Linked DNA regions of Xenopus tropicalis. The protein of the gene in region 2 binds, or shares a complex with, the protein of the main gene of each other region. Links are inferred from orthologs where the notes say so. Each region holds a gene or a part of one and is shown on either strand. Other genes may lie near its edges. The genes, in order: kdr, vegfc and flt4.

Evidence for each region.
Region 1: the proteins of vegfc (region 2) and kdr are in contact, whole or in part, in a crystal structure (PDB 2X1W), measured with the Homo sapiens proteins. The link is inferred for Xenopus tropicalis from reciprocal best matches to the Homo sapiens genes VEGFC and KDR. Residues at the interface, in NP_005420.1 of Homo sapiens: Thr148, Asn149, Phe151, Lys153, Phe186, Ile188, Val190, Pro191, Leu192, Gln194, Pro196; in NP_002244.1 of Homo sapiens: Val135, Tyr137, Ile215, Val216, Val217, Val218, Asn253, Val254, Gly255, Ile256, Asp257, Phe258, Asn274, Arg275, Asp276, Phe288, Leu289, Ser310, Ser311, Gly312.
Region 3: the proteins of vegfc (region 2) and flt4 are in contact, whole or in part, in a crystal structure (PDB 4BSK), measured with the Homo sapiens proteins. The link is inferred for Xenopus tropicalis from reciprocal best matches to the Homo sapiens genes VEGFC and FLT4. Residues at the interface, in NP_005420.1 of Homo sapiens: Leu119, Asp123, Trp126, Gln130, Asn167, Arg210; in NP_891555.2 of Homo sapiens: Gln172, His199, Asp200, Ala201, Leu202, Tyr203.

The regions. Positions count from the first base shown.
Region 1 is NC_030677.2:40,288,295-40,291,950, reverse strand, and holds part of kdr (vascular endothelial growth factor receptor 2), read left to right. Parts: intron 1-495; coding exon 496-604; intron 605-947; coding exon 948-1,292; intron 1,293-1,406; coding exon 1,407-1,553; intron 1,554-1,773; coding exon 1,774-1,905; intron 1,906-2,750; coding exon 2,751-2,857; intron 2,858-3,239; coding exon 3,240-3,375; intron 3,376-3,645; coding exon 3,646-3,656. UniProt on the Homo sapiens protein: Tyrosine-protein kinase that acts as a cell-surface receptor for VEGFA, VEGFC and VEGFD. Plays an essential role in the regulation of angiogenesis, vascular development, vascular permeability, and embryonic hematopoiesis.
Region 2 is NC_030677.2:47,628,461-47,632,116, forward strand, and holds part of vegfc (vascular endothelial growth factor C), read left to right. Parts: intron 1-2,328; coding exon 2,329-2,530; intron 2,531-2,983; coding exon 2,984-3,174; intron 3,175-3,656. UniProt on the Homo sapiens protein: Growth factor active in angiogenesis, and endothelial cell growth, stimulating their proliferation and migration and also has effects on the permeability of blood vessels.
Region 3 is NC_030679.2:20,222,795-20,226,450, forward strand, and holds part of flt4 (vascular endothelial growth factor receptor 3), read left to right. Parts: intron 1-197; coding exon 198-466; intron 467-3,623; coding exon 3,624-3,656. UniProt on the Homo sapiens protein: Tyrosine-protein kinase that acts as a cell-surface receptor for VEGFC and VEGFD, and plays an essential role in adult lymphangiogenesis and in the development of the vascular network and the cardiovascular system during embryonic development.

The DNA.
Region 1 (3,656 bases), about 7.3 Mb from region 2:
GCGTTAGTGTTATTTCGGCGCGCAAATTAACGCATGCGGTAGCGCGAAATTGACCACATGCGATGTGCGACTTAACACACGTGGTAATACTATAGTGAATCACGCGTTAATTTTCGCGTCTATTTTAACGCAAAAAAGCGTGCGATAAAAATTAACACACTTTAGTGAATCAGCCCTAATGAATGCTGTGTTCACACAATCAAGTACTGTTTGAAGTAGATTTTATATATATATATATATATATATATATATATATATATATATATATATATATAGTGGGACTATAATATTCCTTGTATGAGCTTGGTCACTCACCACAGACATCAGTAGCATCTACTTATGGCAACTTGGAGTGCTATGTTAGCGGCCTGTTTAGAGGATTGCCTAGCTAACCTCTAGTGACTTGATAGGTAGGTTGAACCTGTTTGTATGTCTTTTAAGAGGTTTGAATAATAATAGTGGATGCTTTATGGGATGATTCTTTTGTTTTATCAGACTGTGAGTAAACTGGTCATTCACTCAGCCAGAGTATCTTCTCTGTACCGATGCTCAGCCACAAACCAAGCAGGAGAGGATGAGCATGTGATCTCTTTCCATGTTACCAGTAAGTTTGGGTATAATGGGCAGAGTAAATCTTGCAGTGGATAAAGATAGCATGTGACTTTCATTGTAGATAAACTACATCATCTTTGACTTTTGTTGCATAAATGTTCCGTGGTGGCCTACAAAGATCTTTAATAGAAATGTAGCAAACCCTTCTAAAATCTCAGCATCCTAAGCCAACCACAAGGTACCTGCATGTGCTAAGGTTGTCTATTACAAAGACTTGCAGCTTTGACACTACTGCTTTCTATATCTAGGCTTACCTGATATTTGTTCTTAGGTTTTAAACTGCAGTATAAGTAAGCAAATCTATATAACAAAAAATAATTGACTTATTTTTTTAGGAGGCCTAGAAATTGACATGCAGCCGAACAGCAAGCTCACTGAGCGGGACAACATAACATTAATATGCACAGCTGACAAGTTTACTTATGGGAATGTCATGTGGTTCAAGCTTAGTCCCAGCACAGTGGAAAAGCATCATATGGGATGGCCAATACCAGTGTGCAAAAACCTTGTTGGCCTGGTTAGAATGCATGCCACAACTACAAATACCAATGGAGACAACGTGACCTCGGCCCTGGTCCTGCATAACATATCAATGCGTGAACAAGGAAACTATGTTTGTGTTGCACAAGACAAAAAGACCCAGAAAAAATATTGTTTGATCAGACACATAAGAATACAAGGTATGGGACATTAAAAAAGAGCCTGTCATAAAAACTGAACAATGAATAAACATTTCTACTGTTTCGTTAATGAAACAACAACTAATATGTTTCTCCTGTATTATCTATACACAGCACAAAAAGTTCCCTTTATCTACCAGGACCTGAAAAACCAAACTAGAAATGTCAGTGAAACGGTGGTAGTGAAATGTCAGGCCTCTGGAACGCCTGATCCGCAAATCATTTGGTTTAAGGATGATGACAGCCTTGTAGAAGACTCAGGTGATAGTCTAATAATAAATACAATGTGTTAAAATGTATAATTTGGACTTGAACTGACTGCATAACTATACTGAGTTTCTCCTGGTCATAGATTTTATATACTCTGCCATAAAGTTGATTAGAAATCCTTAGTTTTGATGTATTATCTTTGTAAATGACCAGCTTTCTTGTGCAAAGTGAGGTTGTGCCATACAGTTAATCACATTTTTATTAATTTTAGGCATTATTTTAAAAGACCATAATAGGACTTTGACTATCCAGAGAGTTCGGAAGGAAGACGAAGGAATCTATTCTTGCAGGGCTTGTAATGACTTGGGATGTACAAAGTCAGAAATGTACTTCACAGTAAATGGTAAGTGTAGATTGCCACATATCCCCATTGTCTATTTATGATTTTTTGGAGATTTTAAACTAATTCAGGTTTACAGTTATTTGCAGCTGCACTCTAAATGAGTTTGTAAAAGTTTAAGGACTTGTAAACATTTGTATGGGACCTCACTATAGTGGTTCAAACCCCCTCTCCATCATGCTGTTCTACACTTGTGGGCAAAAATCCCTTAGTGCCGTCGACCTAAGTTGCTCAGTAGTACATCCATTAGAACCTGTTTAGCAGGGTGTAGTGCAAATACCGCCTGATACCTGTTGTATGAGTATACCTGCCATAAGTTAAGAATAACTATCACAGTCCATTTACAGAAGTCATTCTAGAATGATTTAATATTATTTCTACGCTCATGAAAACATGTAAAATATACCTGTGTCATTTATAGAAGTATAAATACCAAAACCTTATCATTCATTTTCCTATGCTTTCATAAAGGGAAAGTAAAGGCTTTCCACAAAGTTTAGGGATGGTGTAATAATGCTTTAGAGAGAATCTCTGCTAGGCATCATGTGTACGATGGTTCTTGCTGCTGAGAGGACAGAAACTGGCCAGCAGCTGGGTTGATTTTAACATTAATTCAGATACTGCTGTCAGATGTGGCAGGAGCTCCTACACAGTACAGAAAAATATTAGCTACTACAGTGTCTAAATGTCTTATTCTTAAGGATTCTTACAGAACATCTAAACGTTGTGGGAAGCCTTTATCTTCCCTTTAAGGGCTTCGGTAATTAAACATGTTTGGAGAAAGTACAGTTCCCATAACACAGTGAGCTGTGACACGAGCAGTCAAACGTTCAATTGTCTCTCCATAGGCACAGACGAGAAAACAAATCTGGAGCTCATTATTCTGGTTGGCACCGGAATCATTGCCATGTTTTTTTGGGTGCTTCTCGTAATCATCCTCCGGACCGTAAAGAGGGTAATGAAACTGTTTTCCTACTGTGCCATTTGTATTTGCCCGGCATGACAAATGAAATCTGACTGAGGGGCTATTGTGTTTCTCATTCTCATTGTCCTCAAATCAACAGACACTTTTTTTCCTTTGCATAGCAGAAAACCTCTGCATGGTTTGCTAAGTATGAAGTCATTTCAGTTTAATTGTGATTGCCCTTGGAGAGATTCTTGAGGATTCTTTGCATGAATTAGTCAAATACATTAATTATGAACCACTGGGCATTGCTTTAGATGCATGGGTGACTGTATGTTTAAGTGATAACAGTTCCGAAGGTCTCCAGTTAGTCACTCTGTCCTGTTGTACAATGTTATGTCCAACTCATGTGTCCGAAATTACTCTTTTTCAGCCCAATGGAGGGGAGCTTAAGGCTGGCTATTTGTCAATCATTATGGACCCTGGTGAAGTTCCTATAGAGGAACAGTGTGAGCGGCTTTCTTATGATGCCAGCAAGTGGGAGTTCCCGAGAGATCGTCTCAAATTAGGTGCATTTTTGAGTTGCATTAATATTTATGTCAATTATGCAATTTTGTGTTGAAATGATGTAAAGTAAATGTTATGTTAAATAGTTTTTTATTATTTATAATATTCTTCACAGATACATCTTACTGAATCATGTTCTGTTTGTATACACACACTCTTTACATACAGTTTTTTGGCTTATTTCAGAATAGAATTGTATTTTTTAAACTCTGTTTCTGTTTTAAATCTCCAAAAAAATAAAATTGTGTTAAATGTGATATTTTCTGTTCTAGGGAAGCCACTT
Region 2 (3,656 bases):
AATGCACAAACAACCCTCCTAATTTCATAGTTCGCTAGAATAGCAAGAAAGGTCTCAGCTTTGGCCACTCATCAGCAGAATGCATTTTTTTCTCTTTTTGGCATAGTTTAAATTCTTGCCAATTATACACAGGGCTTTAAATAGCCTTAATGCAGACACATTAAACACATTTAATAGGGAAGCCTGCGCTGTGATCTTTCGTTGAAATCTGGAACATTGTGCAGGGAAATACATGACTTGACAAGGATCTCCAAAAGGCAATGTCATTCTCATAATCATTTCTGTAAATTACTTTAACATGGGAGTGCTGCATAAAAAGGCATGCCAGAAACCAACTACATGCTGAATGCAACAAATGACTGAGAATTTTACAAGTTCACAAGTTGATATGCAAACTCTTTTAATAACTAAGTGGGCAACACTGCCTGCTTAAGGGGGAACTATACCTTATTTGTAAAAATGCATTTATTCTTTGATATATTCTCTTTTATAAACTAATTCAATGGAGGAAACCAGTAAAGTGAGATCTTGTTATAACATATTTTGTTTACATTCACCTCTGTGGGGAATGGCAAAGCTTTGTTTCAGAGCATTTGGGTTAATAAATTCCATATGATAGATCAAATACCTGTAGAATAAATCGGTAGCCATTCAGTAGGGGCCACAGTGTCCAACCATTTTTTATTTATAGTAGTTAAATTCCAGAACACATGCTCTCCCCTTCCCCTCACTGCCAGCTCAGAGCTTTTTATTTTCATCAAAACATTGGTGGTAAAGTGTTCAGAGGTCACACTCCTTTCACTGCCTGATGCCCACACCATACATTTTTCTTCTGGCACATATGGTAAGGGAAGCTTGAAGTTGCCCACTGGGATATAATTAATAGCTTGTGAATAGCTTTTAAATATGCATGCAGTTTTGTGCTAGGTGTTAAGCTTTGCACTTACATTACTAAAATGAGTCCTGTCATTATTGTTTTAGACCAGTGCTGTCCAACTAATTACATGTAGTGGGCCAGTTATATCTTGTACAGCATGTTGGAGAGTCGAATTCAATGAAAATGACCATGTCACATAATATAGTCTGTGGATCACCTGAGCAGGCTGGGGGCCATAAAAATCCTTTGAAGGGCCACATCGGCCCGCTGGCCTCCAGTTGGACAGCCCTGTTTTAGAGCATTATTTATTTTTAGAGCTTTCATCTTGCCTCAGTCACTCCAACCAGTGGACTAGAACAAACAAATTACATTGTAAATTGTCATGAAATGTACCCAGTGTAGGGTTGCATATATTTCATAATTTCAGTATATAATGCAACCTCAGAAACAAGTCTATTCCTACGTGGAATTTTTTTCCTATTCAGAGAGGACTGTTGTGGGTGCTATAAAATACATTTATACAAATGTATTTTATACATTTTATACTGGCTGCTGCCTTTTATGAAATCTACATACTGTAAGAAAGTTGTGACTGTAATGTGTAATAGTGTTGCCTGCAGAGGTCAGGTACCTACAGGTGTGGATAGGAGATCTGCTCTGCGGGTTGGATTGCGGGTATTACATATAGCAAGTTGTACACCTTTACACCTTTTTTGTCCCCTGTTTTTATGCCCCAGTCCACTTCCAGCTCAATGGTTTTCTGCGGGTAGCGGGTTAAAATGCAGGTTGTGGGTCTTGATCACAGTTTTAAAAAATTTGACCCATGCAGGACTCTAGCCTGTTTTTTAGGGATGCACCAAATCAAGGGTTCGGTTCGAGATTCACCCGAGATTTGGCCTTTTTCAGCAGGATTCAGATTTGGGCGAATCCACGCTCCTGGCCAAACCGAATTCTTAAAATCATGTGACTTTTTGTCACATAAACGCAGAAGTTGAAAATTTTCCGCTGCACGCACTCTTCTCTACATATGTAAATTCAGATTCGGAATTCTTTATGAAGGTTTTGAACGAAAACGAAAATAGTGGATTCAGTGCATCCCTAATCCCTTTAATGTATTTTTTTCAATATATGTGTTTCATATCTGCAAAATAATAACGGAATGAGATAGCAACCATATACGTTTATTTTATACTAACCCCCTCAAACCACTAATAATAATAAGTGTTTCCATTTGTTGGGTTGTTTTCAGGGGAGACTAAATTTTGTGGAGTTCTCTTTCCTAAAGCACACACTTTCTCTGGCAGCAACCAGAATGAAGTGCCTGTAATTGAGATTTACTCCCCACATAAACGTAAAATGTATTTGCCATTAACAATGTCATCTTTATTGGTATCGTTATTAAGTAGAGAAGGGGTTGTGAAGGTAAATTGTCTTTATTTTTTGTTTGAAAGGATCAGCCAGGAAGAGAACTGGAAGAGCAGCTGAGGTCAGTGTCCAGTGTGGATGAACTAATGACTCTCCTCTACCCCGAATCCTGGAAAATGTTTAAGTGCCAGCTACGACAAGGAGGCAGCACAGGATATGACACTAGGAGAGAAGACAGTTTTACATTTGCGGCTGCTCATTATAATTACAATGCTGAAATCTGGAAAAGTAAGTTAATGAGAAGTGTGAAAGTGGCACATCCACTCATCATACAGATCAAATTCTATTTAATTAGAAGAAAAAACTCTACCGTCATCAACGGTACATCAGTCTTTTTCAGAAGTGAAGCTCTAGGTGTCGGAAGGCAATGGAAGGCAAAAAGTTCCATTCTACACTGGTCTCTCAGTGTTCTAAGAATTAATTTTTTTTTTTAAATTGAATTTCTTGACAAAAGTTTCTTTTTGTAGACAATATTTTTGAAAGTGTAATTGATTATAAAATACTCTTTTCAATTGGGATTTTGAATATCCAACTTACTACAGTATTTATATTTGGTTTGATATCTGTTTAGGTCATTCTTGCCGTATTCAGGCAAATTAAAAAACTCCTTCTTGCTGTTATCATCGTTATTGTCATCATGCTAATAACAATTTATCCCTCTTTATCCCTATACCTTGGCAGGTATTGAAAATGAGTGGAGAAAAACTCAGTGCATTCCCCGGGAAGTATGTGTGGATGTAGGGAAAGAATTTGGAGCACCAACAAACACCTTCTTTAAACCCCCGTGTGTATCCGTCTACAGATGTGGGGGTTGCTGTAACAGTGAAGGGTTGCACTGTATGAACACCAGCTCAACTTTTGTCAGCAAAACTGTAAGTTTTATAGATATGCATATCTTCTTTATAGGGCATACAACACATTGCAGAATTCATTCTCAATTATTCAGAATTCTTTTTTTTTTTTTTTACAAGGATATGCTTCATTTGGCAGGGATTTGCACCCTACTGAAGATCAAAGAAAAATGAAATGGTCTTTGTAAAATTTTCATCTCCCTTCTCTCTGCTAAATGTCAGGCTATGCTAAGGTCAACTTACCCACTGCAAAGAAATATGTTCTGAATCTTGTTAGGTATATTGAAGTTGGATATTTAATTAACTATTGTATTGGAGTTAGTATTGCCCTAAAATGTATTTGTCAAGTGGTAACAGTAATCAAATATATTAATAAACAAGGCTTAACAATTCTGAAGGGTGTTAGAGCTCAGCACTAAGAAGAATAGCAAAATAGCTTAACATTTTTGCTGTTCCTTTACCTTTAAAATAAAAACAGTCTTCATCTGTTAACTATATTTTAG
Region 3 (3,656 bases), on a different chromosome or scaffold from region 2:
AGGAAAGCAACTTATGCTGTGATATAAACCCAGTCTACATAAAATATGAAATTATTTTATACTTTCTTCTATTTCACTCTTAGTGTGGGTGGGGAAAGTCAAGAATGGATACCTTAACATTAAAAGTATGTGTAGTCAAGTTCTTCATGTTTATGTTACATTTTAACAAATACAATTGTCTGCTTATTGATTTCTAGGGGACAAAGGCCCCTGCAGTGGTCTTGGCCAGGGGGTTTTACAGACACAGATACAAAGGACAAAGACTCCAAAGTGACTATAAATTTCAGTGATACACGCAGTGTGGCTGAGGAAGACTGTGAGGGGATTCCTAGCAAACCTTACTGCAAGGTGTTCAGGCTGACAGGAGCTAGGGCTAACGACACAGGCTCTTACTGGTGCCACTACAAATTTATCAACGTCAGGATCAAAGGGACCACAGCTGCCAGCGTCCATGTCTTTGTAAGAGGTAGGTGGACAAAAACAGTATATTTCAATAAAGTTCTGTTATGTGGAAGAGAAAGAAATGTGCCAGAGAAAAGATCTGATATTTTAATGTATGAAGACCCCCACTACTGTGAACTACAGCTATATTTTCTACTAGCTACTAAGAAGATGTGTTCTAGAATCTTTATTCTCATGAAAATAATTATTAAAATCCTTTTTTGAAAGATAACATTTATGGCTGGAAAAATATCAAAAGATGGGGGAAGTGGTTAATTTATGAACCAAGTTCTAAGTACTTTAAAATATAATTCAGTTTTATTACTCTGCTTGTTACACTGCTTATTCATCCATCACCCACTACTGTGTTGCACTCAGGTTCTATGGCTGAATGCCTTGCCTCAATAGTAAGGATCCTATTTTAAGATGCAAGATATCTATGCTGTAATCAGGGCCGCAGAAACTCTGGGGTTACAAACCACTATAGGATACTTACATGGCCTTTTAGGAGTCCCAAGCACAGGTCTGCACTTAAATGGATGTTTATCTTCAGGCAATAGTGCCCCTGTCAGATCACTGCTGCTAAAACACTCTCTGTTTTGCTCTCTCTGTAAGGGATTTCTTAGACTAAGACTAATAAATAATAAAGATGATTTATCATAATCAGTTTTTTCTGATGGGGCTGTTCAAATTCAGACTGTTGTTGTAAGGTGAACATCCCCTTTATAAGTAAAGTTTTAGCTTCATATAAGCTACCACTGTTGGGAAGGATAACTATGACCTTCCCTTTGCCCTACCCCAGCCTTCCTGCATTCAAAACAGTAGAGAGGACATGATCTGCTGAAATTGTGCTGTGGTCAGTTATAAAATGACCATTGATGGATCTCTATATAATGCTGCAGTAGTATTCCTTTAACTGTGCTCATATCCTATAATAAAAATATCATTAAACTATGTCAGCATTTCCCCATGATGAGCAAAGTTCTGCATGTGTAGCATATAGTATCTCTTTAAGAGGATTAAATGTTTGTTACAGATTTCAGTACGTTTTTAGTTGATCTTCATGTATGTTTTTGAACTTTCTGCATTCCTGTCTTGCTTGCAACTGGAAACACAAGTGGAGCTCATTTATAAACAATGGGCAAATTTACACCTAAGCAGTAACACATAGCAACCAATCGGTGATTGGATTTTTCATTCAGCTGCAGGTTAAACGCTGAAAGAAATCGCCTGATTGATTGTCGTGAGTTACAACCCAGGTGCAATTTAGCCCAGTCTAATCTATTGTGAAGCTACAATGTTATTGCTATTTTGATTGATTTTTACTAATGCTCCCCTCTTCTATTGATCTTTCATTTTGACAGCCAGGGCCAGAACCAGTGTCGGACTGAGATGGCAGGGGCCCAATAGAAAACCCTGGGCAAAGGGCCCACTCTCAAAACTTTAATTGCTCCTCTACTCCTTCAAACTCTTTATTCTCCGAGTCTCTTTTCTCTACATACTATCCTCTCTTCTTCCATCTATCAAGCTTCCTTGTTCGCATACAGAAATAGGGCTAAATAGATAGAAGCAAGAGGGCCCACTGACACTTGGGCCCACCGGGAGTTTTCCTGGTATCCTGGTAGGCCAGTCCAACACTGGCCAGAACTAGGGGTAGACAGAAGAGGAATGTACCTAGTGTGCAACTGTTGGTGGCGCTAGGCATGTACCGCTTTAACATACCCCTAGTTCAGACCCTTGTCCCTCCACACCCGCAGGTCCCCCTCATCTTACTGTATATGTGGATATAGTTTTTCATGTACTGCAGAAGAAGGACAACCAGAATTTTCTTAACTTTTAGGGAAAACCCAGCAAAAAGACAGAACAGTTTTGTTTATTAGCTAAGCCCATTTCTTTTATTAATACTATATAATTCTCTTGAGAATTTATTACATACTGTATTTTTCTAAAATGTCTGGAATTTTTTCTTGGTGGATAAGGAGGTCACGTAGAAAATGAGAAACTAGAGAGGTTCATGTGCGCTCAGTGCATCCAGTGGTTTCGTGTTCATGTGCTTTACATTATAAGAAATCCTTGGGCCACTGGTGTGCACATTAAAATAAACAATATCTGTACCGGTCGTTCAGGACATAATGTTAACTGAAACATAAACAATTTAAGATTGAAATTCTTCAAACTAGATTTAAATGGATTTTGCATCATTCAGGCCAAGAGTCCAGGCTCTTTTCATTATTATTATTACTACAGTTTGTATTGCTTAGATCAAGTTTTTCCAAATCGGCCCACAAGAACAATTTACCTGCCAGAGATTTGAGGGGTCATTTACAATTTGCTTTTTGCGATCAACATCACATGCTTTTTGCAGAGTCACCCTGCCCTGCACCTTTCCCATGAATACATTGTTACCTGCATTCTTCAGTGCTCTATTCATAAGGAGCAGGTGGGGGGAGGCCCCTGTCTGCTCCTTAACTTGCATTCAGATGCACAAGTTATGGACTATTTTTCTACCTACCTTCCCATGGCAGTGGAAGAATAGAGCTGTGTTTCATCTGCCTTCAGTGCTGATATGCCCCTTTTATGTGTGCTTTAAGAATGAGCACTAAGGGGCTTGTTTTTGTGCCCCTCAGTGCTCCTTCACCCACGGCAAGGGGAATATTTATCTAGGTTTTATCTAGTTTGATTTTTTTTTTTGACGATTTTGCACTTAAAAAACACGAATTCGAATTATGTTTCAAAAACTTGTCTGGTTTTTATTAAGTGCAAAAAACTCAAAAACTCAAATGTAAAAATTCTAAAAGCTTCAAAGTTTCTATTGACGTCAATGATATTCGGGTTTTTTTTACTGGAACAAGTTTTCCTCATTAATAAATGAGCGAGAATTTGATATGTGAGTTTATTTGATTTAAAAAAAAACAAACAAATTCAAATTCACAAATTCAACAAACTGATAAATAAGCCCTCTAGTATTGCAATTTTCCAAACCCACGCTGACTTCTTGCCCTGCTGTCTCTGATCTATTTAACCCTCCATGTGCAGTTAGTTGTCTGTTTTCACATCTGCCAGCAACAACTCTCTAAAACTGGAATGCTTTTTTGTGGGGATAGAAATAACTTTCTAAATTTTGGGGGGATAGTATAAACTTTCTAGCTTTTCCGACCTACATATTTTCATTGTGTCTTTAGACTGGGAGCAGCCATTTATAAACACTCTTGGGG